Macaca mulatta: one gene and its partners. The main gene of each other region encodes a partner of the protein of the gene in region 3 in a complex. Links are inferred from orthologs where the notes say so. Each region holds a gene or a part of one and is shown on either strand. Other genes may lie near its edges. The genes, in order: NSMCE1, NSMCE3, EID3 and NSMCE2.

Region 1 (7,563 bases), on a different chromosome or scaffold from region 3:
AATCAATAGAAAATTTCACAAAACCGTGTAGGGCAAACAAAACACAAATGTTACTCCTTAGGGCTTTATTTCCCCACTTATTTGACTACCTGTTGGGCAGTTTATAAAGTACTTATTAGTGGTGTTAGTTCACACTTATTGAGGGCTTACAATGTGCCACAGACAGTCTTCTAAGTAGTTTACATCTTCTCTTCCTTTAATCTTCAGAATAACACTATCAACAAAGTGCTATTATTAAACCTGCTTTATAGATGAGCAAACTGAGGCTGAGAACTTGAGTTCAGTCATCCCTTAGTATCTGTGAGGGATTGGTACCTCAGTCCCCATGGATACCAGAATTCTCGATGCTCAAGTCCCTTATATAAAATCAAAACTACCTTGGTAAAAAGCATAACTGAGAAAATTCTGATAGTGAAAGAGATCTGGCCTGACTCCATCTTGCTTCTAACTTCCAAGCTGTCCTTGATCATTCCTGGGCATAGGTTGAATTAATGTTGGAAAGAACTTAGTTCATAGTTTAACTTTGAAACAAAGGCAATAATAGTCCTTTCCCAAAACAAATCCCCTTCTTGCCTAGGGACGGGTCTGCCTTTGTAGACTAACAAATTAGCTAAAAGATTAGAAATTATGGTTTAGGAGGTCACGCAAGCTGGAGGCTGCAAGATTCTGACCCACCCCAAATCGCTTCTGGGAGTAACATCACTGTTCTAAAACCTAAAATCAGTGCTTGAGATATTTTGTAGAACCTGTGTTCTAACGCATCAGCTGACACCACCCAGCCCTGTAATCTGGCTCACCTGGTACTTTGGCCTTAACCCAGGAACTGACTCAGTGCAAGAGGACAGCTTTGACTCCTTTCCTCTCTAATCCGACCAATCAACACTCCCTAATCCCCAGTCCCCTACCCACCAAATTATCCTCGAAAACCCTGAATTTCCGGGGAGACTGATTTGAGTAATAATAAAACTGTGATCTCCTGTTCAGCCAGCTCTGTGTGAATTAAACTTTCTCTATTGCAATTCTCCTGTCTTGATAAATTGCTTCTGTCTGGGCAGCAGGCAAGGAGAACCCACTGGGCGCATACAAAATGGCAGAATATTTGCATATAACCTACGCAAATCCTCCAGTATATTGAAAGTCATCTTTAAATTACTTATACTACTTAATACAATGTAAATGCTATATAAGTAGTTGCTATGCTGTATTGCTTTCAGAATTTGTATTATTTTTATTTTTGTATTGTTATTTTTATTGTTTTTCCTCCACAAATATTATCCATCCGTAGATGGGGAACCTATAAACAGGGACGGCTTACTATACTTTGTCCTGTGTCTTGGAGATACTGAGTTTAAGGCCCAGGATTCTATGTTGACCATCCAGCTCCAAAGCTCAAGGTTTTAATCACCACACACTACTGCTTTCCCACTTGGCAGATGAAACTGAAGCCCAGAGAGGTTAAGAAGTTGTCCAACATCAGGCCGGGCGCGGTGGCTCACGCCTGTAATCCCAGCACTTTGGGAAGCCGAGGCGGGCGGATCACGAGGTCAGGAGATGGAGACCATTCTGGCTAATACGGTGAAACCCCATCTCTACTAAAAATACAAAAATTAGCCAGGCGTGGTGGTGGGCGCCCGTAGTCCCAGCTACTTGGGAGGCTGAGGCAGGAGAATGGCGTGTGCCCGGGAGGCGGAGCTTGCAGTGAGCCGAGATGGCGCCACTGCATTCCAGCCTGGGGGTCAGAGCGAGACTCCGTCTCAAAAAAAAAAAAAAAAAAAAAAGGTTGTCCAAGATCACAGGGGTGGTGAGTGACCAAGCCTGTATTTGAGTTATCCTCACAGAGACAGACATTTGCAGGTACCGCTGTTCTATATTAGTTACCTGTTTCCCTTGCTAGGCTGCATCCCTAGCTCTCAGACTAGGGATAGTATACAAACGTTTGGAAAATTAATGCCTTGAAGATTCAAAACAGTCTATTCACTTCCAAGAGTAATTTCACTTGCTTTCTCACAATCCCTAGGTAAGATAATAGTTAACATTTAATCAGCACTCCCATGTGACACTTTTCAGTGGCTATGCTAAGCACCTAAATCTCACCAACACTATTTTGCAAGGACTAATATCCCCATTTAATGGAAGAGGAAACTGAGGCTCAATGACTTGCCCAAGCTTCTGCCAACTAGTAAGTGGCAGAGCCAGGATTCTAGCTCAGGCTGTATGACCACAGAGTCCACATTTTTCTTTTGTTTTTTATGAGACTAAGTCTTGCTCTGTCACCCAGGCTCGAGTGCTGTGATGCGATCTGGCTTACTGCAACCTCTGCCTCTCGGGTTCAAGCAATTCTCCTGCCTCAGCCTCCCGAGTAGCTGGGATTACAGGCACACACCACCACGCCCAGCTAATTTTTGTACTTTTAGTAGTGACGGGGGTTTCACCATGTTGGCAAAGTTGGTCTCGAACTCCTGAACTCAAGTGATCGGCCCGCCTTGGTCTCCCAAAGTGCTGGGCCTACAGGCATGAGCCACCGCGCCCGGCCAGAGTCCACATTTTTGACGACGAGGCCACACTGTCAGTTCCACTGATGGGGAAACTGAGGCCCGGGGCAGGGCACTACATTGTGCCGGCGGAATCGTGGCCAGTGGGGGAAGCACGGGCTACGCGCCGATTCTTCCTCCTTGGTCAGGGAAGTCACTGAGGTGCAGGAGGCGGAGGGCGACAAGTGGAAGCCCCTTCCCATTATTAAGGATGGAGAGCGGCGCAGTAATTGGGATCTAACCCACGAGGCGGAAACACTAGGGAAACGGCGCAAACGGAAAACCGGAAGTGCGTCACCCAACGGACGGGCGAATCGTCTGCAGGCCACCAACGGGAACGCCGCGTTCGCGTTCGCCCCGCCCCAAAGGAAGAAGAGTCCGCCTTGCGACCGTATCCGCTAGCTCAGCGCGGGTTGCGCTTGGGCACCCTGGTGGGTAACGCGGCGCGCTAGGGGGTAGAGGGGAAAGAAGAGGGACTTCGAGGAAGGCGAGGGGAGGACGGAAGGTGGGGTGGGCGAGACAGGCAGTGGGGTCTGGCCCCGTGGTCTATCCTCGTGGGCTGTGGAACTCGGGGACGGGGGTCTTGGGGCTCCCCCTTCTTGATGGGGAAACTGAGGCCCAGAGAGGGGCCGCAGAAGGCAGCGGACTGGGATCTCCTCCCACAACACACACAAAGACATCTAAAAATCGTACTATTTAGTGAAAAATATTTTTAATCGTAATTACGATTTAACAGGTAAGGATACTTTTCATTGTAATAGGTGAAAAAGCAAAATATAAAATTCGATTCAAACTGTGATTACATCTATGGAAAACACAGCCTTCGCCGACCACCCTGTCTGTCCCGCCGCCCTCCGTGCTCCCCTCTGTTTTTGTGTACGGAGTTTCTCACTTTGTACAAGTCCGCAGCCGCTTGTGTTACAGCCCCGAGGCCAGATGCGTTTAAAATCGAGGATTTCTCGGACTTTGGAAAGGTAAAGTGCGTATGTTCTATGTTAGGTTTCACCCTCAGTGGGGGCTGGAGCAGCGGCTTGCAATCAAATACACGACCCTTTCCACAGCTAAAGATATGAAGATATGCATATATTATATTGACCGGGTCGCGGTGGCTCAGGCCTGTAATCCCAGCACTTTGGGAGGCTGAGGCGGGCGAATCACCTGAGGTCCGGAGTTCCAGACCAGCCTGGCTAACATGGTGAAACCCCGCCTGTACTAAAAATACAAAAAATTAGCCGGGCGTGGTGGCGCGTGCCTGTACTACCAGCTACTCGGGAGGCTGAGGCGGGAGGCTGAGGCAGGAGAATCACTTGAACGAGGGAGGCGAAGGTTGTAGTGAGTCAGGATCGCGCCACTTCACTCCAGTTGGGGCAACAAGAGCGAAACTCCGTCTGAAAAAAAAAAAAAGATATGCATATATTTACACTGTTGGGATAAATAACCATGGATAGCCTCACCTTAAGTCAGGTCAAGTTCTCCAACGTAAGAAACAAGTTTTGGTATTCAGACTTTTTTTTTCCCCTGCATCTGATCATCCACTAGTATTCATACCTTTTTAGATTTGAGGGTTGCAGATGAGGGACCTGGATTGTAGCTGTTCTGTTCACTCACTTTTCTCACTCTCACTGGATAAGAGAGTGTCTTTGAGAACAGGAACCGTGCTGTTGTATGGTCACGTCTCTCTCTGCCACCAACTCTTGTGTGTCACCTTGTGCCCTTTTAGTCTCAGTTTCCTCATCTGTAAGATGGGGTCAGTGATCCTTTGCTCATAAGGTGCTGGTTGGGGTTAAATGATGTCGTGCATGTGAAGCACAAGAATTGTGTTAGCACCTGCACGAATGGTATGACTGAGATTTACTTATTCCACAAACATTTATATTTCAAAATTATTAAATTTAAATAAATGTATTATTAAATGAATTAAATGCATTAATTAATTAAAAGTATAGATGTATTTCTTAAAATGTGGGTGATAGGAATGTTAAAGATTTATATAATGCTTCAAAGCCTTAGAAAAGGTTTTCTTTAGTTGGTTTATCTGTATATCTGAACTCTTGAAACTTAAAGCTAAAATACTAGGATTTATCTGCAGGGTTGCAGAGAGATAATTCTGCCTTAAATTGTCTAAAACAAAAACAAAACAAGACAATATGTTATACATGGGATTAAAACCAATTTTTCTCCCATTTTTTCTCCTTTTTTCTTTTGCTGCCCACATTGTGCCTTTATTTTATGAGCCCCATTTTTCTGGGCTTAGTTAAAAAAAAAATTCAATTCTAAACGTTGAATTTAGGGAGTTTTTGTTCTTAAATAAAAAGGCATAGACTTAAAAAAAATAAATGTTTATCCAGGAAAATATGTTGAAATCATGCTGCTGAGCCTCTATTTTCTTTGATGTTTTGGTTCGGTATTCTTTTATCATAAATTCTTAGCATTTAAAAATTTACTGATGTACATTTAAAGCCAATAAACTTTTAATTAATACAAATATATATATATATATATATATATATTTTTTTTTTTTTTTTTTGTGATGGAGTCTCACCCTGTCACCCAGGCTGGAGTGCAGTGGCGCGATCTTGGCTCACTGCAACCTCCAGCTCCTGGGTTCAAGCGATTCTCCTGCCTCAGCCTCCTGAGCAGCTGGGATTACAGGCGTGCACCACCATGCCTGGCTAATTTTTGTATAAAATAGAATTATTTAAGTAGGTGATACATGTATGTCTATGGCTAATCCCACCATTCTCTCCACAGTCTCTTCTCATAGAGACAAGGGATACAATATGCATAAACAAACTTATGGTTGTCTTTCTTCCACTCCTACTTTCCCGCCCCTTTTCCACCAAATCATAGCATTCAATCATATCTTGTTCTCATTCTCATTTACATTTATTTTGGCTGTTATTTAACATATTCACGTAACTTTTTTTTTTTTTTGTGGAGAGTGGATCTTGCTATGTTGCCTAGGCTGGTCCTAAAGTCCTGGTCTCAAGCAGTCCCCCCACCTTGACCTCCCAAAGTATTGAGATTACAGGTGTGAATCACCATGCCCGGCCCATCACATTTAAAAACATTGTATGTAACATACCTATACAATTGTGTGGAAGTATAAGTTTGAAGGACAAAAATGAAATGAACGCTCATGTACCTGCCACCAAGTTAAGAAATAGACATTTTCAGATCCCCAAACCCCCCACTGAATCCTTTCTTCCCTCCTCAAAGATAACTACCACTCTGAATATTGTGTTACTTGTTCCTTTGTTTTGCTTTGTAGTTTTTGCGATGTATGTTCGTATCTCTAATGAATATAATGTATGCTTTTGCTGAGTTCGATTTTATATGATAGGATCCTAAAATATATTTTGTGTGACTTGCTTCTTGCACTTAACGTTATCTTTTTGAGAAGCATGTGTGTTGATGTGAGGAGCTCTACTTTATCTTCATTGCTGATTTGAATTCTATGAGATAATTACATTGTTTTAATGTAGTTCTTCAGTTGGTAGTCATTTATACTGTTGCCAGACTTTTGTTATTACACGGTGCTTCTGTAAAAACATATTTCCTAGCGCAAAAGTGGAAGTTTCTGTAAGGTATATACCTAATAGATTTCTGGGGATATGCAAATTTGCTAGTAATATCAACTGTTATCTGAAATGGTTACAGTAATTTATACTCAGCCTGGTGTGGTGGCTCACACCTGTAATCCCAGCACTTTGGTAGGCCAAGTTGGGTGGATCACTTGAGTCCAGTAGTATGAGACCAGCTGGGGCAACAGGTGAGACCCCATCTCTACAAAAAATACAAAAATTAGCTGGGCATGGTGGTGTGTGCCTGTAGTCACAGCTTCTAGGGGGGTCTGAGATCAGAGGATCGACTGAGCCCACAAGGTCAAGGCTGCGGTGAGCTATGACTGTGTCATTTCATTCCAGTCTGGGCAACAGAATGAGACCCTATCTCAAAGAAAAAAAAAAAAAGAATTTATACTCTTCCTGCAACAGATGAAAAACAGATGAAAGTTTCAGCCTAAGCCTCAGACATTCTTTTAAAATTTTTGCCTATCTGGTGTTGGCTAAGACATTCCTTCACTGTGGTTTTAATAATCATTTATCTGATAACATTGAGATTGAGCATCTTTTTTCTGTATTTATTCATCATTTATGCATCCTCTTTTTGTAAAATTTCTGTTGCCCATTCCTCTTTCACAGTTGCCTTTCCCATGCTGATTTGTAGGAATTCCTTATATAGTCTGAATATGAATCTTTTGTATTATGTAGCTTATGTTTGTTTTAAATACCCTCCAGTTGTATCCCCTAACCCCCACCTTTCTGGTATTTTTGGTGAATACAGGCCCTTAACTTTAACAAAAGTCAAATTTATCAGTATATTCCTGTATCACCTGTAATTTTTGTATCTCTTAAAGAAATCTTTCCCTACCCTCAGGTGATAAATATATTCTGTATATTGTCTAAAAGTCTTAGAGTATTTTTCCTTATTATGACCTTATCCCTTCAGAATTGATGTTTGTGTATAGTGTGAGGTAAGAATCAAATTTTACTCATTTTTTTCACATATGGATAACAAGTTTTCCTGGCACCTTTTATTGGAAAGTTTGCTTCCCTCCACCATCAAGTATCCATGTACATGTACCTTTCCGTTTCTGAATTCTCTGTTCTGTTCCATTGATTGGTCTTATTTGTCTGTCTCTGTACCATTACCACACTTGACTCGTTACTCTAGCTTTATAAGAAGTGCTTTTTTTTTGTTTTGGTGTGTTTTTAGACAGGGTCTCACTCTGTCACCCTGGCTGGAGTGCAGTGGTACAATCATGACTCACTGTAGCCTCGACATCTCGAGCTGAAGCAGTCCTCCCACCTCAATATCACAGGTACCTGGGACTACAGGCATGTACCATCATGCCCAGCAAATGTTTTTTTAATTTTAATTTTTAGTAGAGACAGGGTTTCACCATATTGCCCAGACTGGTGTTGAACTCTGGGCTCATGCAGTCTGCCCACGTCAGCCTCCCAATGTGTTG
Region 2 (6,863 bases), on a different chromosome or scaffold from region 3:
AACATTAATCGTTACATGAACCTATGATAAAATTTAATTTAGGCCAGGAGCGGTGGCTCACGCCTGTAATCCTAGCACTTTGGGAGGCTGAGGGATGGATCACTTGAGGTCAGGAGTTCGAGACCAGCCTGGCTAAAATGGTGAAACCCCATCTCTATTAAAAATACAAAAAAATTAGCTAGGCATGGTGGTACACACCTGTAATCCTAGCTACTCAGGAGGCTGAGATGGGAGGATCTCTTGAACGTGGGAAGCGGAGGTTGCACTGAGCCAAGATCGTGACACTGCACTCCAGTGCAGTGGCATAAGAGTGCGACTCCATCTCAAAAAAAAAAAAAAAAAAGGTTTCATTTATAAATTAGTCACAGTAGAGATTAACAATAATTAATGAGAAACAAAAATGAAACCTTAAGCCCTCCAGCTGACTGAACAGACCCCTTCTTGACCAAGGGGACCCCAGAATAACCTTGGAAACCCTCTCCCGCTCTAAATGCCATTCGGCTTTCTTCCCTAAGCGCTAAACAGAAATCAGCCCTTCAAGACTCCACCGCTGGTATCAACCAGCCACCTGATGCTGCCCCTCCCTTTTGGAGTTTTGGCACAACTGCCCAGCAGTTCTTCCTGGTAAAAGACTACCAACCATGGAGTAGTTAGGGCCAGTCTATGGAAGACATGCAGTCAGGGTTTTCATGTCCTCTGCTTCACCTTCTGATATCAGAGGGTCCGAAAACTCCTACCCTGGATCATGCTAACACTGCCAGTTTTGGAATATGGGTCCCATGGAGAGGCATGAAGTGCAGTTGCGCATGTGCACGTTTCTCCTTGCGTAAATATTCATGACTCCTCCTATAGCTTATTAAATATGTATACTTGGCCACCCCACTCTGCATAGATTCGTGCTCCCTTTGCCCCTCCGTTGAAGTGTCTGTTTCTGGCTTCTAGCATGAGGTTTTGCTTCCCAGGCTGTTGGAATGGCCACCCTGCAGACTGCAACCCTCTATGAGAAATAAAGCTCTTTCCAAATTTATGAACCTCATCATCCTTCAGTTGACACTAACAATAAAGTAGAAAAAATATAATATAGTGTAATAAGTTATATTGTGATTTCTCTCTGAAAATATCTTAATATTTTCAGACTGTTGACTGCAGGTAACTGAAACCAAAGAAAGTGAAACTGCAGACATGGAGATGGAGCAGCAACTACTATATAATCATTGACTGTTGTCGTTTATATTATTGTTACTAATGTTAGTATTGTTTTCACCAGTTTCTCCCCAAACATCCATAGCTTCCAGTATTAATCCAAGGTGGAATGTGGGTCTTCTTCTCCATGCAGAAGAATGTGGGACTTCTCCATGCAGGGCCTAAACTTCATTCTAATACTAACGCTAATACTAATACTAATACTAATTCTAATTCTAATACTCTTATTTTATGTGTGCATTTTCTCACCTGCATTCCTCTGGACATGGCGTAGACAGATGTTTTCAGACTTACAAACTGGCATCTCTTCTCCTCTATTTTGAGTAATGACAGTCTGCTGTCTAGGTAAGAGTGCTGCTAGAGGACACTGCTGATTTTCACAGTCATGGGGGTAGCCTGATTGGTGGACTGCTTGGTGACGTAAGTGAATACCTTAGCAAGAAACAGCATTGAAAAACCAGCCCAATTGTTGACAATAGCTTTTATTTAATTTTCCACTTTCCCCTTATATCTTGGTCACCGAACTTTTTTGACTCAAGGTAGACCATCCGCATCCTGTGGTAGGGACCTTTTGCAGAATTCTAGATGGCAGGAAGCTTTTATGAACCTAAGTCCAAATTTTAATTTGCAAGGAAACTGAAGCAGATGAATTTTCTCATTGTAAAAAAATGAATACCTTGATAATATATTTGTTTTTCGTAGTAGGCCTTTGTCATTAAGCTTGATGCCTGAGGATATAGTTGTATCTTGTGTGGAACAGTAAGTTATTACTCACTGCGTATCAGATTTTAGCATACTTGCATTAGTTCATGGAATATGATTTTACATTTACTATAGCAGTTCCAGTGCCATTATCAGATTGCATTTTCCTACTGAATTACAAACAAATGTGTTATGCTACTAACATTTAACAAAATTTTAATAAGGTTGTGTTTGATGCTATTATTCAGATAATGTGTTCTAAATTGCTTTCCTTTGAATATATTTGCATTAAAGAGGAACTCGATTTGGTTCTTTGAAGAGTTTATCCACTTTCTGGGTAGCTTTAAAAAGACACAGGGAAATTCAGTTTCTTCTTTGCAAGTCAATAAATAGAGAAGAAACAAATTTGCTAAGATCTATAGAAGTAATGGCAGCAGATTGCTGATGGTTTGAGTTAATGAAATGACTCATTTTGGCTACTTGAGTTGCACAATTAAAATATACATAGACTGCACACATCATAGATGAGGGATAAATACCCTTGTGTTCTCTTTTCTTTCTCAAAGCTAATATATTATGAATTAAGAAATTTAAGAGATCCACATTATTGCAATTCTTGATCAGTGATGCCCAAAATTAAGTGGTAATCTCTTGAGAGTGCACGTTTGCAGCATTCCTCTTACGCATTTCTGCTAAAATTGTGGCTGTGAGCCGAAGACAGTTGTTTTCCAAAGGATAAACTCATTTGACCAAGCTAAAACATTTACTTAATATTGACAAGTTTTGTGGGGTTTTCTCATAGTTGTCTAGCTAAAGGAGTTTAATGCAGAGAATACACATACGGAAATAGTGAAACCGAAGTCCTGCTTGCGCGGAAAGCCTGCAGCAGACTTTTGTTTTTAACAAACTCCACGGGGCATTAGAGAAAGTAACTGGGGGCAGTGGGTTGGAGGGTATAAAATTGAGCGGAGGGACGAAAACTAAGAGCCCTCTGGGTTTTTTATATCCTTCTACATGTTGTGTAGAAATAAATGCTTTTACTTCCACGGTCGTACCTTCCTCTTCACCTTTTTTTTTTCTTTCTCACACATTCATCCTGTGAGATCTTTTCATTTACAAATGCTCCCGATTTAGAATTAGAAACTCATAATACCGTCTGTAAAACTTGCCTGAGCCTGTCTGGTCCTGAATTTAGCGACACACTTGTTTAGGAGTTTCGGTTCTCGTTCTCTGCTTGCATGGTTTAGTAAGAACAACACTTCGATATACTGAAATTCACCGACCAGACCTGCAGGGCTGCACAGAAATATCTGATGCTTTTGGTACCCCCAGCCCCGCAGCCGCGCAGGCGCACCGCCCAGCCGCCGTGACGCAAGGCGCAGGCTTCATGACGCGGCACGCAGTCTCAGCCGACACTGCGCGCCCCTTCTGGGGCCCCGCCCAGGCAGCGGCCTTAGCGGGTCGCCGACCCACGATCCCAGCCGCGGCTGCTTGCTTGCCGGAGTGTGCACCGGTACGCGTCGCCGGTGACATGTTGCAAAAACCGAGGAACCGGGGTCGCTCTGGCGGCCAGGCCGAGAGGGACAGCGACTGGAGCCGTGGCGGAAACTCCGGGGCCTCGCGGGCGGGCGAACACGCCCGGGCCCGCAGAGACGGCTTCGCAGAGGAGGCCCCGAGCACTTCCCGGGGGCCGGGCGGCTCGCAGGGGTCGCAGGGCGCCCGCCGGTCCCAGGCCTCCCCCGCCGTGGGCCCCAGGACCCAGAAGCAGCAGGAGCTGAAAGTGTCCGAGCTGGTGCAGTTCTTACTGATTAAGGACCAGAAGAAGATTCCGATCAAGCGGGCCGACATACTGAAGCACGTCATCGGGGACTACAAGGACATCTTCCCCGACCTCCTCAAACGGGCCGCCGAGCGCCTCCAGTACGTCTTCGGTTATAAGCTGGTGGAACTTGAACCCAAGAGCAACACTTATATCCTCATCAACACCCTGGAGCCGGTGGAGGAGGATGCCGAGGTGAGGGGTGACCAAGGCACGCCCACTACGGGCCTCCTGATGATCGTCCTGGGGCTCATCTTTATGAAGGGCAACACCGTCAAGGAGACTGAAGTCTGGGACTTTCTGCGGCGCTTAGGGGTCTACCCCACCAAGAAGCATTTCATTTTCGGAGATCCAAAGAAACTCATTACCGAGGACTTTGTGCGACAACGTTACCTGGAATACCGGCGGATACCCCACACCGACCCCGTGGACTACGAGTTCCAGTGGGGCCCGCGAACCAACCTGGAAACCAGCAAGATGAAAGTTCTTAAGTTTGTGGCCAAAGTCCATAATCAAGACCCCAAGGACTGGCCAGCGCAGTACTGTGAGGCGTTGGCAGATGAGGAGAACAGGGCCAGACCTCAGCCCAGTGGCTCAGCCCCATCCTCTTGAAATCTGAGGTGGATTCAGAGGGACCCCCGGGACAAGGGTCTGAGACCCAAAGGCACAGTGCAGAGGAGCGGGGGAAGGGAGAACGAACCCAGGAAGCGTATTTCTGTAGCGTTTCAATGTGTGTAGCTTTAGGATGTGTTTGCAAAGTTTTGTTCTTTTAATGTTGTGTTATTTGGTTCCAGATTTTCATCTATAAACAAAAGAGCATTTGTTTTGCTTTGATTTTACTTTTTTTGGTATAAAAAATTTTCCTAGCTTAGTAAAACGAATTGGAAAACTTGACTATGATCTGAAACAGATATGCCAGAAGGAACACATAAGTAAGTTGCTTTGGTGCCAAGAAAATAAAAAAGTAGCTATTATCGGGTCTCTTAAGCATCCCAGTTTGTAAGGAAAAATAAAAGTCTTTATAAAATTAAAAATAAAAACGTAATTGCCTATATCCTTATTACCTTAACCTATTTTATTTTTTCTATATTTCCTACATATGTAAGTATTATTCATGGTTCCAAGCAATGAACGTGGTGTATTTTCTCCAAATAGCAATTGTTTATATTCATAATTACTCAGCTGTGTTGCTAAACATGCAGTTCCACTTAGTTTTTTTTACATGCTACTCTAGTTATTACAATAAATACTGTATTTTTGAAGCACTGAAGCATTGTGTGTGTTTTAAATCGTGGGCCATGAGACAATTTCATGACGAAATCAGCGTCTTAAAGTTTTTGCAACATATTGAGGTCAATGTTGTTTTGTAGAAGTTGTTTTACTTTTGTGTGTGTGTGTACAGGATCATGAGGTAAAATATATTTCTACTGTGGATACCAAAAAGGCTTATAAAACAATAGCGTAACCATTAACCATGCCTGCTTGGGAATCAGACTGCCTGGGTTCAGATCCTGGCCCCACCGTCACTAGTATAGGAATTTACGTAGGTTCCTTAGTTTGTATGCAGATGTTTCTTGACCTGTAAAATGGGTTTAGTCCCTGATGTGGAGGAATTTGCTTGTTATTCTTTAATGTTTTTATTTTTTATTCTCGGTCTGGAGCTGCCACTTTTTAAATACAACTTTTCTTTATCTTGTTTTCCAAATGATTCCTAGGAGAGCAATTACTGGTTCAAAAGGTATATTCCACTAGTCTGACTCTATTGTATGGGGAAATAAGTATAAAGTGTATGGTGAGTATAGCCCACATAGAACAGTGAGAGCAGGACATAAGATCAACCTCATAGGGAGTTAGGTATAGGGAAAAGGTGTGGGTCTTGGGGCTGTCTGGCAAACTGAATTTGAATTACGGCTCATGCTAACTTGTCAGCATGGTGATATGGTGGTAGGTTTTAAGCTGTCTGAATCTCAGTTTCTTTACCTGTAAAATGAAAAAAATTATAGCTATATAATAGTTTGTTTTATGGACTAGATGAACTAGAAGAGTTCATAGTCCCATTGTATTCCTCCATTACATGTAGCAGATGCTGTTTTTAATGCAGAGATTCAACACGTTTTATTCAGTGGGTAAATAAGTATAATTGTTTTAGGGGGAGGTGCTGCAAATTAACCTTGAAATAAGGCAGATATTTTTCACTCGGGGGGGGAAAAAGTGAACTTCATCAACACTGGACTGAATGTCATTTAAAAGAGTCTATAGTGAGTATGGAGGAATGTGATAGGTTGCTGGGTTTTATTTCATTCTGTTGAATTGGGATTTGCCTTTGTTTCATCAGTGGAAGATGTTTGGTCCTTATAGGCATTTCTTCTTGATCTGCATTTTATTTCAGTGTATAAATTGCTTCCTGCCTCCTGGTCCCGTGACCTCCCTGACTCAGCTTTCTCCTCCTCGTGCCCTCTGATACTCACATTCTCACCTGTATAATAAAAATTGTTACCCTGCAGTCACCACCGGTTATATCTGAGGCAAAATTCCCTCCGCTTTTCTCAGAGGTGTTAACAATTTACCATCGATAATCTTGTTTCAAATTTTAAAATATGAAACATAAGAGGCCACATCAAGGCCTTATATCTTTTCCTTCTCACCCTCCCCAGAGATAACAAAAGTCTGCGGCTATCGGGCTGTTGTATGACTGTATAATTTTACTACACATGTATAGATACATAACCAATATAGAGTTTTATTTTGTGGGCTTTCATGATTTATATAAACGGTATTACGTGTGTCCTTATGCAACTTGCTGTTCTCACTCACCATTATGTATTTGAGATTCAGCCATGTGGATATATATAGACCTGATTCACTCATTTTAATTGTTCTTTTATGGGGGAAAAATAACTTTATCCATTCCTTAATGGCTAGACAGTTAAGGTCTTTCCAGTTCTTTGAGATTTGCAGGCATTGTACAGTACTTCTTTAGGCACATGTGTGAGTTTCTCCAGCCAGAAACAAATGGAGCAATCAGGGACTATTGCCAAACTGTTCTTGAGCTTGTGTCAAGTTACACTCCTACCAACATTTTACACAGTTTTGTTTTGTTTTTGTTGCCAATCCCTCAACCTTCACCCACTGTGAACAC
Region 3 (7,511 bases):
AAAAAAAAAAGATAAAAATGCAAAATTAAAGTGGGACAAATATTCAAAGTTGTTACATGATGAAACAGTGCAGATTCTGAAGGACATTCTATGTACTAACAAAGACCACAAAGGGACACTAGGGGCCAGAGAAGAAATTCAGTAGATAAAAACTACAACTGGATAGCAAAAGATTTTGTGTTCAACGTATAATAGTTAGACAAAAATATCTTCTGAGGATACTAATAGATGAAGTTATTCAATTGTTGCCCAGCTTAACAATCAAATATAACAGTTTTTCCATAAATCTAATGGTCCTCTCGTGCCTAACTTCTAACAATTCCATGCATTTGACCTTGCTATTCTCCTGCCTAGAAGGCCTTTTCCTTCTCCGTGTTTCTACTCAACTTTCAGCCCTTAGCTGACACCTCAACTTCTACAGCAGAGACACTACTTTTGCTGAGTCTAATAACAGAAACTGTTGAGAATATGGATACTCCCTCATAAATCCTGTCTTCTTTGCAATGACTTTTTTATTCTTAATGTTGCATATTAACTGCCTTACAGACAAGTTGTTGTTGTTTGTTTGCTTTTTTTTCCACTTTTGTTTTTTACCCACTCTTTCCCCAACGTGGTTAGGAACTCTTTCTGGGATTCTCTTGGTTCTCTATGACAGAGAAAGCAATGTATCACAGAGCATCATAATTGATTTTCGTAAATTATTATGTTTTGCAAATTATCAAATATCCCTTAATTTGGTATCCAAAACTTGTTTTTGTTAATAGTCTTAAAGGGCATTCAATAAAACGCTCCCATAAATATGCCAACGAATTTTTTTTAATAAGAGAAGATCATGACCTTATAAATTACTAAGAAAAATATGCTGCACAGTAAAACAATGTCTGATGTTCTTGAAGATACTTTTTCACTTTACAAGACATACAATATGTGCTTCAGTTTACATTTGACTCTCCATTTGAGATAACTTCAGAAAAACACACAAAAAGGATCCTATACTAAGAAATCTTTAGTATGAGGAGTATGTAATCATAGCCTCAGAAATTTCAAAAGCTGCCACAATGTTTTTCCACTCCTGTAAAGTCAAAGATATGACTCCCTGTTTCCTACCATGGCAACTGGAATCATTTCCCTCACCCATTTGGTTAACATTCATCGGCTCTAATATTGGCAGCCTGTCTTCATCAAGCCTTATTCTTGCAAAACCATCTCTTACAATAAAAGAAACATAAAATATATTCTCCACAGTACGAGAAAAAGAGTTTGGATCAATCACAAACTCAAAATAGGACACAGGAGTATCAGGATACTTTCGAAAGTAGGTTTGCAACAATCCCAAAATCCTTTCTACGTTTTTTTCTGTCGCTTCTGGATAACTACTCAGGTCCAGCTTCCGCAACTTTGTAGGCATATTCCCATTTTCCTCCATCTTGCGAACTTTTTTCTGGTGTTCAAGTCGGGGCTTTGGTGCAGAAGGTTCTAGTTTGAATGAACCAAAAACAAAATGGAATGTCTCAGCTTTTACCATCCAGGATGTTGCTTCCTTTTCCATTGCCTTCCAGAAGGAAAGAGCTATGTTATCATCACAATCACTCAAGTCGTCAGGCTCGCCTTCCATCCAATTCAGACCCCCGAACAGAAACAGAAAGTCACAAAATGCTAACTGATTAAAGAAGTTCAGGTCAGAGTTTAACTGCTTTGCCTTTTCTTTACCCAAGTCAGAAGCCATGACAAGAAACTGGGCGTCGAGGGCTGCTTCTCTGGTTCGGCTCACTCCATCAAACAGGACGTTGGCTTCCTCCAGAGCCTCGGTCAAGGAGTTGTTCGCCGAGTTCACGATGTCCTCCCGGTTCTGCCGCACGCAGTACATGAGCTGCCGGTACTGCCTGCGGATGCTGCGGCACTTCTCCTCGTCAGCGGTGAGCTCCAGGAGTTTTGGGTCTATGTCGGCATCCCCAGAGCTGAGGTCGTCGGAGCAGCCCGTGACCCTCACCGCCACATCCATCTTCATCGGCGCTCCCTCCGCCGCCGCCGGCTTCGCCGCGTACTCGCTACTAGGGATGACCACGAGCTGCTCCTCTCCTTTCTCGTCGTCTCCCTTGCGGGAAGCTTTTTCAACCGACATGCCGGCCACTGGTATCTCCGAGGTAACGGCCCTCCCAGCTTGTGGAAACTGGCGGCAGTTGGAGCCGCGGACGCCCGCCCATGCGCATTAGCGGCCCGGCCCGGCGCGACCCGCCCCCAGCACGCTCCGCGGGAAGACAGCCCCGCCCCGGCCCGGATGCACCACGACCCGAGGCGCTCGCTCATAGGCAAGCGCCGCGCTCCGAACACGCGCAATAATGGGCCCCGACCCCAAACGCGAGTTATGCCCGCTCAGGGCACAGCTGTTCTTTTTCAAAGCGTTTACCGACTGGATCACCTCACTTTAAAAAAAACACTTTTGGACAACTTGAGACAAAACTGTTGAGGACACTAAAGGTCCTGCGCTTTAAAACGATCGCTGCCATCATATACCGCAGTGAGGTCGACCGAGGGTTTTGTTTTTTTGTGAACTAAATCTGGCTGGACTGTAACCGCCGGTAAGGCCAAGGCCCGTGAAAAGCAGAAACTCCATTAAACAGGCTGAACTCTCAGTTCTTTTGCAAGGTGGTGTTTAGACTTATTATACAAATGTAAATCGGGTTAATTACTTTCACAGGTCCTCTTTAAAAACCAAACCCCCTCCATCACCCCATCCCGAAGATCTGTGGGGTCGGGGGAGCCTCCAGTATGCGTGCTAACCCCTGCAGGAAACTGAGTGCTCGCATTACTCAAGTGAACTTTGGTTCTCCACCATCCAGGAGTGGAAGAATAGAATGATGGGTAGAGATCTCTGCAAAAGAGCTATTTGCTTGTAAGCTTGCCAACATATAAAGGCCACCGACACTGAATGGGTAAGAACTCTGAACCCTAAAAGGTGAGCAAAGCTATGAAGATTTCAGAAACAATCTAAGGATATGAAAGCTTAATCTGTAAACTGGGTGACTAATCTGCGTTGGAAAATTTACCCATTGGATTTAATGGGGTCACTGGAAACTCAAGTGCAGTTAACCACAGGACTCCGCTTATCTGTCTCACCAGTAGCAAATAGCAAAGTATACTTAACAACTGTAATTAATACATCTGGTTTTTAAAGAGAACATGCACACAACCAAACCATGGGCATCAACAGCTTTTCAAACCTGCAGCAGGTGCACCTTAAAAAAAAGACACCCACAACTGCACCTGTCCAGTTTCACAGCACCAGGAAGTAAATTAGCCCTACCATCCTTTATGCAGATAGACTTGTTCGTATTTAGCATTAGCAGAAGGTTTTTTGCAAATGCATAAACAGCAAAATCTAGTAGTATTAAGTTACTCCAAAATCCTTATATTACCATTTGCCCCCAATTATTTTATTAACTAGGGGTAATTCAGGGAAATACATGCATTTTTCAAAACACCATGCATTACGGTTAGTTGTACGTATATATGATCCTATGCTATTAGATTGTCGGCTTCTCAAAAACAAAAGCTGGGTTTTACATCTTCCAAACATAGCTGTTTTTACATGGATGCACTTATGTACTGAATGTATAAATTAAAATAGATTTAAAACTGTCCCAGCATCTACTGTAAGTTTTTTGGCAGCAAAGATTAAGTTCACAGATTCGTGGAAGTAATCCTATACACTGAAAGGAAAAGTTGACTGCTCTTCAGAAAAAGTTCTTATCCCTCTTCTGAAATAAAGAAACAATGAGAGATAGGTAAGTTGAGACCCAGGATCATTAAAGGATCATATCTTTCCCAAGTCTGGCCAATTACAAACCAGTATTTAAACTTGTTTTAAATCTTAGGTGAAAATACAGCTAAGAATGCCAAGACCCAAATCCAAAAAAGTCTGCTTTTACAGTGAACGATATTCTTAGGAGTTGCTCACATCCACTTTAAATTCAACAATAGCTATTTACGAAGACAAGCCAACCCTTCCCACCCTATGGTGCCTATTTTCTCCAGGCTCCGAGGAAGGAAAATAGGCTGACACCAATTTGCTAATAAAGAACCTTTCATCTAAGAATTTCAAAATGCCTTAGAAAACTATATTCTCCCAACCTACTTATAAAGTATTACTAATACCATTTACAGGGATTTCTCAGGAGATAACAGCCCACACAATTTGCTCAGAGCAACAGAGCATATCAAGGCAAGCATTATTAAGTTGTGATTTACAGTGCTGAGTGCATTCTATGCTAGATCTCCAAGTACGTTATTAACATGTAACTTAGATCATCCTAAGAAAGGCAGACTTGCATCATATTCCACCTTAAAACTCTGCCTTTAGGCCGGGCGCGGTGGCTCACGCCTGTAATCCCAGCACTTTGGGAGGCCGAGGCGGGCGGATCACAAGGTCAGGAGATCGAGACCACGGTGAAACCCCGTCTCTACTAAAAATACAAAAAATTAGGCGGGCGCGGTGGCGGGCGCCTGTAGTCCCAGCTACTCAGGAGGCTGAGGCAGGAGAATGGCGTAAACCCAGGAGGCGGAGCTTGCATGAGCCGAGATCGCGCCACTGCACTCCAGCCTGGGCGACAGAGCGAGACTCCGTCTCAAAAAAAAAAAAAAAAAAAAAAAAAAAAAAACTCTGCCTTTAGGCTGGGCGCAGTGGCTCACACTTGTAATCCCAGCACTTTGGGAGGCTGAGGTGGGTGGATCACCTGAGGTCAGGAGTTTGACACCAGTCTGATCAATATGGAGAAACCACGTCTCTACTAGAAATAGAATATTAGCTGGACGTGGTGGCACATGCCTGTAATCCCTGCTACTCAGGAGAATTGCTTGAACCTGGGAAGCGGAGGTTGCGGGTGAGCCAAGATGGCACCATTGCACTCCAGCCTGGGCAACAAGAGGGAAACAACTCCACAAAAAAAAAAAAAAAAAAAAAAAAATCTGCCTTTAGACATTTGCTACAAAGTGAAACAATCTCAAGTTTAATAATTTTCCCCAATCATATAAAGAATGGGATTTCCATGCTGGTTAATCTTTAAATCATTAAACAGTGATTTCCTAACCTAAGGTCCAAGTGCTACTAATAATTATTTAAATGAAGCTTAAAAAGAAGAAACTGCACTGCTGATAAATTTGTCTGTGACTAGGAATAGAGAGCAAGAAGTGCACTGGTACTTCACAGCAATCGATGGAGTCTACCTTATTCCCACAGTATAGACTAGTTCAGGCAGCCATAAGACTGAGTTGCCTCAGAGATAATTTAGCTCCCCTCTTCCCCCCTTTTCCTCTTTCTTCGCTCAAGAGTTGCTAGTCAGGGTTCAATACAACCCTCCATTTCCTTTCCTCTTTTCTTCAGTCTTTTCTCCTATATTTTCAGTTCCTTTTCTAGGAGTTTAGGTTAATTCCAAGCATTCTGAGCTCTTTTCCACAACCCATACTGCTCAATACAAACGTGACAGGGTGGATGACAAAGGTCACATGTCTCCCTGTAACCAAATAAAGGAAGAAGTCACATGGAGTCCACTATTTTTCTCCAGTGAGATTTTGCTGTAAGACTTATCTATAACAAATGGATTTTTAATAGACTTTTTGGAGCCAAAGCCAGGAATCAGTCAAGTTTGAGTCCCACACACTAACATACACACTTATCCTATCAGCTACCTCCCTAAACTTTTCTATTCCTTCTTTCATAGCAGCTTTTCTTCCTTCATACCACCAGGGCATCTGTTTAATATTGAGTTGTGAAGACATGTGGTAAAAGTCCTAGTTTGATTTGCCAGAGTTAGCAGGACATTAGGTATAGTTTCTCTTCCATCTTAATTTTTTTTTTTTTTGGGGACGGAGTCTTGCTCGTCGCCCAGGCTGGAGTGCAATGGCATGATCTCAGCTCACTGCAACCTATACCTCCCGGATTCAAATAATTCTCCTGCCTCAGCCTCCCAAGTAGCTGGGATTACAGGCGCGAGCCACCACACCAGGCTAATTTTTGTATTTTTAGTAGAGATGGGGTTTCAGCAAGTTGACCAGGCTGGTCTCGAACTGCTGATCTTGTGATCCGCCCGCCTCAGCCTCCCAAAGTGTTGGGATTACAGGCGTGAGCCACCATGCCTGGCAGTTTCTCTTTCATCTTAATTTTCTTTAAAGTTATGTTTGTGTGTACATATTTTGTGTTTTCTTTGTTTTTTATTATTAAAGGTGAACTTTGCTATGATAAGACAGATGTATTTTTTTAATGAAAATTTGTTTTTGAAAAGACCACAGACTGTGGGAGGGGACAATCTAGGTTCCAATCTTGACCTATTAGCTATTAGTATTATCTTAGCCAGCTTGCTTAACCTCTCAGCCTCCAGTGTCTTTATTTATAAGACAGGAATACTACTACAGTTGACCCTTGAAGGAAACAGCTTTGAACTGCACAGATCCACTTATACCAAAGCGATAAAAAATACAGCATTTACCCAGGTCTGCCTGCTCCTTAAAGAGGAAAAAGCTTGTGAGAAATAAAGAAATACCGTATTTGTGAGATGTGAAACCTGTGAATATGGAGAGCTGACTTTCCATATATGCTGGTTGCACAGGGCAGACTTTGGGACTTGAGTGTGTATGAATTTGGGTATACACAAGGGTCCTGGAACCAATCCCCTGAGGACACCAAGGGACAACTGTATTTATACCATATAATTACTATAGTGAATGAAAATTATGTAATGTATCTGACAGTGTTTTCAACTACTAAGTAGGTACTTAATAAATCAAACAATCCCAAAGATAGCAAATATTTAAAAACTATATACAAACCAGTAGTTTCACTTCTGAATGTTGCTTTAGGAACAGAAAAAATTTTTTTTTTTTTTTTTTTTTTTGAGACAGAGTCTCACTCTGTTGCCCAGGCTGGAGTGCAGTGGCCGGATCTCAGCTCACTGCAAGCTCCGCCTCCCGGGTTCACGCCATTCTCCTGCCTCAGCCTCCCGAGTAGCTGGGACTACAGGCACCCGCCACCTCGCCCGGCTAGTTTTTTGTATTTTTTTAGTAGAGACGGGGTTTCACCGTGTTAGCCAGGATGGTCTCGATCTCCTGACCTCATGATCCGCCCGTCTCGGCCTCCCAAAGTGCTGGGATTACAGGCTTGAGCCACCGCGCCCGGCCAGAAAAAAATTTTTTTTAATTTTTTTTGTTTATTTGTTTGAGGCGGAGTCTCACTCGATCGACCAAGCTAGAGTGCAATGGCGTGATCTTGACTCATTGCAACCTCCGCCTCCCGGGTTCAAGTGATTCTCCTGCCTCAGCCTCCCCAGTAGCTGGGATTACAGACATGCAAGCTAGAGTGCAATGGTGTGATCTCAACTCACTGCAACCTCTGCCTCCCGGGTTCAAGTGATTCTCCTGCCTCAGCCTCCCCAGTAGCTGGGATTACAGACGTGCAAGCTAGAGTGCAATGGTGTGATCTCGACTCACTGCAACCTCCGCCTCCCGGGTTCAAGTGATTC
Region 4 (7,505 bases), on a different chromosome or scaffold from region 3:
ATATGCTCCACATTTTGCAGCCTTTCTTGAAGTAAGGTGTGGCCTATGACTGCACCCAAGGCAATGAAATGTGAGCCATTTCCAGGCCTAATCTGCAAAAACCCACACTTTCCCATTTGATAGCTTGATGCAGGCAAGCACAGTGACCTTAGTAAAGCTACACACTGATGATAGAGAATTACCAGATGGAAGGAGCTCAAGGCCCTACATCACTACTTGGAGGAAAACTACTCACCTATCAGGCTCCATGCATGAAAGAAACTTCAACTGGGCAAAGCCATTTAGACTTGTGGGGTTTACTTGTTACAGTACTATTAATAAAAAAAATACAAACCTGCCAGGACCAAATGATATAATTCAAGTATTCAGTTTTCTTTCTTTCTTTTTTTTTTTTTGAGATAGAATTTCGCTCTTGTCCCTCAGGCTGGAGTGCAATGGCGCTACCTTGGCTCACTGCAACCTCCACCTCCAAGGTTCAAGCAATTCTCCTGCCTCAGCCTTCCCAGTAGCTAGGATTACAGGCACCCACCAACATGCCAGGCTAATTTTTGTAGTTTTAGTAGAGGCAGGGTTTCACCATGTTTGCCAGGCTGGTCTCAAACTCCTGACCTCAAGTGATCCACCTGCCTTGGCCTCCCAAAGTGCTAGGATTACAAGCATGAGCCACTGCGCCCGGCCTCAGTTTTCTTTTTTTTTTTTTTTGAGACAGGGTCTTGCTCTGTCACCCAGGCTGGAGTGCAGTGACATGATCATGCTCACTACAGCCTCAACCTCCCAGGCTCATGTGATTCTCCCACATTAGCCTCCCAAGTAGCTGGGACCAGAGGTGTGCACCACCACATTTGGCTAATTTTTTTTTTTCTTTTTTTTTAATTTTTAGTAGAGATGACCATCTCCCTATGTTGCCCAGGCTGGTCTCAAACTCTTGAGCTCAAGCGATCCTCCTGCCTCTGCTTCCCAAAGTGCTGGGATTATAGGCATGAGACACCATGATCAGCAGAAGTATTCTGTTTTCTAGTCGGTCTTGATTCTAGTATAAGTCTAAAGTGTCTAGAGAGCATTGTCCAATAGAACTTTCTGTGATGAAAATGTTCTATGATCTGCACTGTGCAATATGATAGGCACTAGGCACATGCGTACTGACTACCTAAAATCTGGCCGGAAAGGTGGCTCATGCCTATAATCCCAGCACTTTCGGAGGCCAATCTGGGAGGTTGGCTTGAGCCCAGGAGTTTGAGACCAGCCTGGGCAACAAAGTGAAACCCTGTCTTTACTGAAAATAAAAAAATTAGCTGGATGTAGTGGTGCAGGCCTGTAGTCCCAGTTCCTCAGGAGGAGATGTGGTAGGATCACTTGAGCCAGGAGGTTGAAGCTGCAGTGAGCCATGATCACACCACTGCACTCCAGCCTGGGCAACAGAGCAAGACCCTGTCTCAAAAGAACAAAAAAAAAAAAAAAAAAAAGGAAAGAAAAGAAAAGAAAAGAAAAGAAAATGAAGAGATGGCAGGGACTGTTCTCTCTCTCTCTCTCCCTATCACGTGAAGACACATAAAGAGAGAAGCCATCTACAAGCCAAGAAGAAAGTCCTCACCAGAATTCAACCATGCTGGCAACCTCACCTTGAACTTCTGGCCTCCAGAATTTCTGTTGTTTAAGCCACCCAGTCTATGGTATTTTGTTATGGTAGCTTGAACAAAGACACAATATCTATGAAGATTAATGCAATCCAGTATAAATGGAAAGTATATACCAAACAGTAGTTGTCACTACTTGGTTGAATGCAAAACTCACATTACTTGAGTGAAACTTCACTCTTGCAGAGGACCAAGGAAAACATGACCATGCTTTTCTGTAATTCTGGAGTAGGGAAAAGATTAAGACAGACTGAATTGAAAAGCAAAGACAATGGATGGTGCAGAAAGATGGAATAGATATACTTTTCTCAATTCCTCCCAATAAATACAGCTAAGTACAAGTCAAAGACAACTCCTTTCTCTGACTCTAACAGCACCCTCTTTGATATAATTATAGCCTTTGGCAGTAACTCTACTTTGTTAGTGACTATCTTGCAAGATGTTCGCAGTGCTTCATAAACAGCAAGTGCTCTGAAACTATCAATAAATGAATAAACTGCTTCGGTCAGATGCACAGCTCTCGTGTTTCCTTCTCCCCTTCATACTCAATATTCTTGAACTCACCTCCAGACTTTGTCCAGGCTGGGCGCGGTGGCTCATGCCTATAATCCCAGCACTTTGAAAGGGCAAGGCAGGAAGACTGCTTGAGGCCAGGAGCTCAAGACTAGCCTGGGCAACACAGCGAGACCCCATCTCAAAAAAAAAAAAACAAACAACACAGACATGGTGGCTTGCACTTATTGTCCTAGCCCCTTGGGAGGCTGAGGTGGGAGGACCCCTTGGGTCCAGGAGTCCAAGGCTGCAGTAAGCTATGATCATGCTACTGCACTCTAGCCTGGGCAATAAGAGTGAGACGCTGTCTCCAAAAAGGAAGAAAGGACTTTGTTCATCCTGCTCCCACCGTGAGAAAACCATCTCTTCAGTTTTCTTTCTTTTTATTTATTTATTTTTTGAGACAGAGTTTCGCTCTGTCGTCCAAGCTGGAGTGCAGTGGCATGATCTCGGCTCACCTCAACCTCTGCTTCCTGGGTTCAAGGGATTCTCCTGCCTCAGCCTCCTGAGTAGCCGGGATTACAGGTGTGCGCCAGAACACACTGGTTATTTTATTTATTTATTTATTTATTTATTTATTGTATTTTTAGTAGAGACAGGGTTTCGCTATGTTGACCAGGTTAGTCTCAAAACACCCCACCTCAAGTGATCCGCCCTCCTTGGCCTCCCAAAGTGCTGGGATTACAGGTGTGAGCCACCGCACCAGGCTCTTTCTTCAGTTTTCTATCTGCCCACATCTTACCCATATGCTAAAGTCTGAATGTTTGTGTCACCCAAAATTTATATGTTGAAATCCTAACTCCTAAGGTGATGGTATGAGGAGGTAGGGCCTTTTGGGAGGCGATTAGGCCCACTTTCATGAATAAAATTAGTGCCCTTTTAGAAGATGCTCCAGAGAGCTGCTTTGCCATTCCACCGTGTGAGGACACAGCAAAAAGCCACCTATGAACCAGGAAACAGGCCCTTGCCAGACACTAAATCTGCTGGCACCCTGACCTTGGACTTTCCAGCCTCCAGAACTGTGAGAAATAAATTTCCGTTGTTCGTAAACTACCTAGTTTATGGCATTTTGTTATAGAAGCCCACACTGACTAAGACACCATCTCTCATGGCTTGGTTTAAGTGGTTCTCAACCAAGAAAGATTTTACCCCTCTCCCAAGGGACATGTAGCAATATCTGTAGACATTATGGTTGGCATCTAGTGGGCAGAGGCCAGGGATACTCTCAAACGTCCTACAATACACAGGACAGCCCTCACCCCCACCCCACAGGAAAAAATTATCTGGCCTAAAATGTCAATAGCGCATCAGTTGAGAATAACTGATTTAAATCAATCTCTCTTGGATCCCTTCCCATGTAATAACACTGATCTTTTCTTCCCAATACCTATGATCTCCAAGAAAGTTTAGAACAAGTTGTGCATTTCCTGAGTTTTTTCTCTGCATGTTATTTATAGACAATATGCTGACTTCCTTTAAATCCACGGGAACCTTGTACAAGTCAGCCAGAGCTGCCTCTCCTTTTTCAGCATGCAAGGATATACCCTTCTCTCTGAATCCTTCTCATACAATTGCTTGTTCCCTCCCTCATGCTACCATTATTCCTATCACATGCACATGTACACAACACACTCCCATTATGAAACTCATCACAACTATTTGCTCACATGTCTGCAGCTTCTTTACACTGAAAGCTCCTTAAACTAGAACCCTGACATATTCTATTGCATATAAAGCAGTTCTTCACACAAAATAGGGGACCAATAAAGATTTGGCGAGTTACAAAAATAACAACAGACATCATCATTTCTCGGTCACCTACAGAATGCCATAAACTGGTGTCCTGGCACTTCATTCTCCTTATCGCTAATTCTCACTGCAATCTACATAAGTGAAGAGGAAACTGAGGTCCAGAGAGTTTATTCAAACGACCTTCCCGTGGCCTTACTTTTAAAGTCAGTTCAAACCACATCTATTTGGATCAAAAATTCGTGATCTTGCCCTTACACACTTGTGGCTAACGGATGGAGAGATGGCGCCTCGGACAGGAGGGTAAACTGTCCCAGACTCACTACTGTGGCGTGAAAAGGGCCACAACCATAATCCAGGTCGACGAATTCCCGGCTCGGGGTCCCCGTGGAGTGTCCCTGAGGGAGGCGACAATTCCCGCCACCTTCCCCATTGCCGTCCCCCGCTTCTTCCCTACCTGGTTGTCCGAGTTGTCTCCGTCTGGTGGCACCCCAACTTCCCCTACTTGTACCCACCTCCTTTCCTCAGCCCCCTTCGCCTGTAGCTGAAAAGTGAGCGGGGGCTCTTGCGTCATCATCCGTCGCCGGCGAGTGGTCACATGATGCCCCTCCCTGCTCACCGCCGCTTCGGTCATGTGACCGTCCTGGAAGTCAGGGGCGGAAGCCGGGCTCTGACCCGTTCCAGGTCCGGGACTGGGGATAGAAGAGGACCGCCGCCGTGAGGGAGGGGTGGAACCTGGGTGCCGACTCCGCGCGCAACCTCCTGCCCTGCGCGTGCGCCGCTGGCGCGGCCCGGCTGACAGGTGAGTGGGGATGGGATGAGCGCACCCCATTTTTGCATGGCCCCCTTCACCTCCCCGCTGGGCCGCGCTGGCCCTGGGGAGGTCTCCAGCGTCGCGTGCAGCCTGGACGGGGGACTCGGGATGGAGGGCTTAGGGGCTTTCTGGGGCGGGGGCTGCAGTCCAGCTCTTCGTCTCCGCTTAGGGGGAAAACATTTTGCACACTCCTTCCTCGCTTTAGGAAGCACCGTTCAGCTGGCTGCTTGGTCCGAATCTCATCCTTCCAAGTTTCCGGGAACACTGCTGTGTGGATGTCGTCGTTATTTCTCTCTTTGCTTTTGAGAAAACTGAAAGGCTAGTAGTGAGGACTTTTACAGCCTGACGGACCTGGATTTGCATTCTAGTTATGCCATGGGCTGTGAGTTTGGGCAAGTCATTGCTGCTCGCTGCGTCTTAATGCCTTCACCTGTGCTAATGCCAAAATCCTTTGCATTTTGCGTGGGGGGGAAATGTTCCCAAGGCCCTGATTCCTCTATGATCGGACAGGAAAAAGAAAAAAAGTCACAGAGTCGTAGAACTGGGTCTCCTGATTGCAAGCGCATGGAGCTCCCTCAAACATAGGTGAAGGGTAGTGAGGGAGAAGTTTTCCTGTCTTTGTGCACAACAAGGGACACCTTCTCTAATTGTCCTTCACCTGCCTTTCCCAGGATTTCAGGTTCAGCCTCATGTCAGAACTTTTCTGGAAAACATATGCAGCTTGCATTTATTCTGACCGACAACCATTATATTTTGTTTGTGATAATGGATTTGTGGAGATCAGTGCTTCCTTTATGGAACTGAGGTTTTGCGAAAGGCTAAATATAGACCTACCTTCTTTTGTCCTCTGAAGGGGGTAAACAGTGTTTGTCCACGACAATTCGATTTCCTTAAGAAATATTATTCTGCACTCTGGGTAATTGGTATAATGATGCCATGCCTCATTCTTGACAGCATGTCTTTTGATTAGGATTACTTCCCAAACTGAAAATCACAGTTCCACGCCAAATTCTTAAAAATGAAGTTACTGGCGCTTGTAAAAGAAAATAAGAGAATATAGTGGGATCTCTGGATTTCATGCCGATAGTAATACAGCCTGTATTGAGAGAGCTGATCTTCAAGTTTTCTTAATCCCTAGCACGAAGAGAACCTCTGAAAGGATAATTTACCATAGCTTCTTCTACAGAGTTTAATTGGACCTAATTCTAAAGTGGTTTTTTAAGACTTAACTGAGTCTTAACACTTTGTAAAGCCATCCACATACCTCTTAGCTGCAACTTGATTAGGCATTTTTAATGATGGTTCTTAGATTCTGTTCTTCAGGACCAGTCCTTCGGCCAACGAGGGGGCTATTTAACAATTACTCTAGCCAAATTATATTTGTGCAAATTATGGAAATTCCATTTGTTACATGGAAAATATAACTAGTCCAGGTTAGGAGGTCTAGTACGTAAAATGTAACTAAGTGATTTCCTTCTTTCATTTAATCTTGTTTTAACTTCTTCCATCTTCAAAAACTTAGCAGGAGATGCTTGCATTATTAGAAATAGAAAACACAAGTGCCCTTCATGGGGCCAAACAGATTACAAGCAGTGAGTTCATTTCACTAAAAGTATATTAAATATAACATATTTTGCTTTCGCGTTAAAAATTTAATATAAAGTTTATATATTGAATTTTAGAAAGGCGATTTATGTAGGTAATAAAGACCCATAATATTTGTTTTACTATTGCCAAACATATTTGATTATTATTATCCTTCTCATGTTCTTTTAAAGTTGTCTACAATGTAATTCTTGAGTAAGGACCTAAGGATTAAAATAAGAGATTGACACACGAAAGTCTTGATTTCGGTCGTTATCCCAGACTGAAGCTTCCCTGAATGTGTGCATGCAGGTGCTGAGTCTGTCTGTCCTTCTGTATGTTGGGAGAGAGTAGAGTAAAGGGAAGGTAATGTTACTTTGCTTTAAGATGTTTTTCCCAGGTCTACATTGTTGCCCTGTCATGGTATCCAAAATCAGGTAGCTCTTGGACCTGTTAATCATCGCTTGCCCTCCTCTTCATGAGTCTAGAGCAAGCTTGTCTAGCCTGAGGCCCACAGGCTGCATGTGGCCCAGAATGGCTTTGAATGTGGCCCAAGACAAATTTGTAAATTTGCTTAAAACATGAGTTTTTTTGTGTGTGTGTGTTTTTTTTTAAGCTCATCAGCTATTTTTGGTGTTAGTGTATTTTATGTGTGGCTCAGGACAATTCTTCTTCCACTATGGCCCAGGGAAGACAAAGATTGGACTCTCCTGGTGTAAAGTTTCATCCTACTTAGACCTTCTGGGTTAGTTTGGTGGTCTTCAGAGGGCTTTAGGAGGTGACTGTTTTGCCCATTGTCCATTATTTCCCTTTTCCCTCTCTCCTTTCCCAAGCCAGACCATATCCATGGAGAAAATGAAATGAAATTATCTGAAATTCAGCCTGTTAGAGATCAGTGTGATTTAACAAGCAAGTATCACAGAGGAAACTAAAAGAACTTGTTAATAATGTATGCCTTAATGTGTATCAGAGGGTACCTTCATGAGAGTTCTAGACAGCTGTAGTGGCTTCTTGGCTCTCAGATGCAATCCAGTCTACTTCTTCTGTTTCTGCCCCTAGCTGACTCTACTCCAGCCACTTTAGGCACCTTGCTGGCCGGCTAGCACATTCCTGCCCTGGGGCCTTTGCACTTACTTGTAACCTCTGCTTGGAATGCCATTCTCAGGATCATT

What was found.
Region 1: EID3 (region 3) and NSMCE1 share a complex: the UniProt entries of both Homo sapiens proteins name them as parts of the SMC5-SMC6 complex. The link is inferred for Macaca mulatta from reciprocal best matches to the Homo sapiens genes EID3 and NSMCE1.
Region 2: EID3 (region 3) and NSMCE3 share a complex: the UniProt entries of both Homo sapiens proteins name them as parts of the SMC5-SMC6 complex. The link is inferred for Macaca mulatta from reciprocal best matches to the Homo sapiens genes EID3 and NSMCE3.
Region 4: EID3 (region 3) and NSMCE2 share a complex: the UniProt entries of both Homo sapiens proteins name them as parts of the SMC5-SMC6 complex. The link is inferred for Macaca mulatta from reciprocal best matches to the Homo sapiens genes EID3 and NSMCE2.

The regions. Positions count from the first base shown.
Region 1 is NC_133425.1:26,812,522-26,820,084, reverse strand, and holds the start of NSMCE1 (non-structural maintenance of chromosomes element 1 homolog), read left to right. Parts: upstream 1-2,895; 5' UTR 2,896-3,505; exon of another isoform or gene 3,506-3,592; intron 3,593-7,563. UniProt on the Homo sapiens protein: RING-type zinc finger-containing E3 ubiquitin ligase that assembles with melanoma antigen protein (MAGE) to catalyze the direct transfer of ubiquitin from E2 ubiquitin-conjugating enzyme to a specific substrate.
Region 2 is NC_133412.1:9,159,257-9,166,119, forward strand, and holds NSMCE3 (non-structural maintenance of chromosomes element 3 homolog), read left to right. Parts: upstream 1-3,342; 5' UTR 3,343-3,436; coding exon 3,437-4,336; 3' UTR 4,337-4,944; downstream 4,945-6,863. UniProt on the Homo sapiens protein: Component of the SMC5-SMC6 complex, a complex involved in repair of DNA double-strand breaks by homologous recombination. The complex may promote sister chromatid homologous recombination by recruiting the SMC1-SMC3 cohesin complex to double-strand breaks.
Region 3 is NC_133416.1:111,528,181-111,535,691, reverse strand, and holds EID3 (EP300-interacting inhibitor of differentiation 3), read right to left. Parts: upstream 4,959-7,511; 5' UTR 2,123-4,958; coding exon 1,007-2,122; 3' UTR 801-1,006; downstream 1-800. UniProt on the Homo sapiens protein: Tissue-specific component of the SMC5-SMC6 complex, a complex involved in repair of DNA double-strand breaks by homologous recombination.
Region 4 is NC_133413.1:135,523,933-135,531,437, reverse strand, and holds the start of NSMCE2 (E3 SUMO-protein ligase NSE2), read right to left. Parts: upstream 4,489-7,505; 5' UTR 4,451-4,488; exon of another isoform or gene 4,393-4,450; intron 1-4,392. UniProt on the Homo sapiens protein: E3 SUMO-protein ligase component of the SMC5-SMC6 complex, a complex involved in DNA double-strand break repair by homologous recombination. Is not be required for the stability of the complex.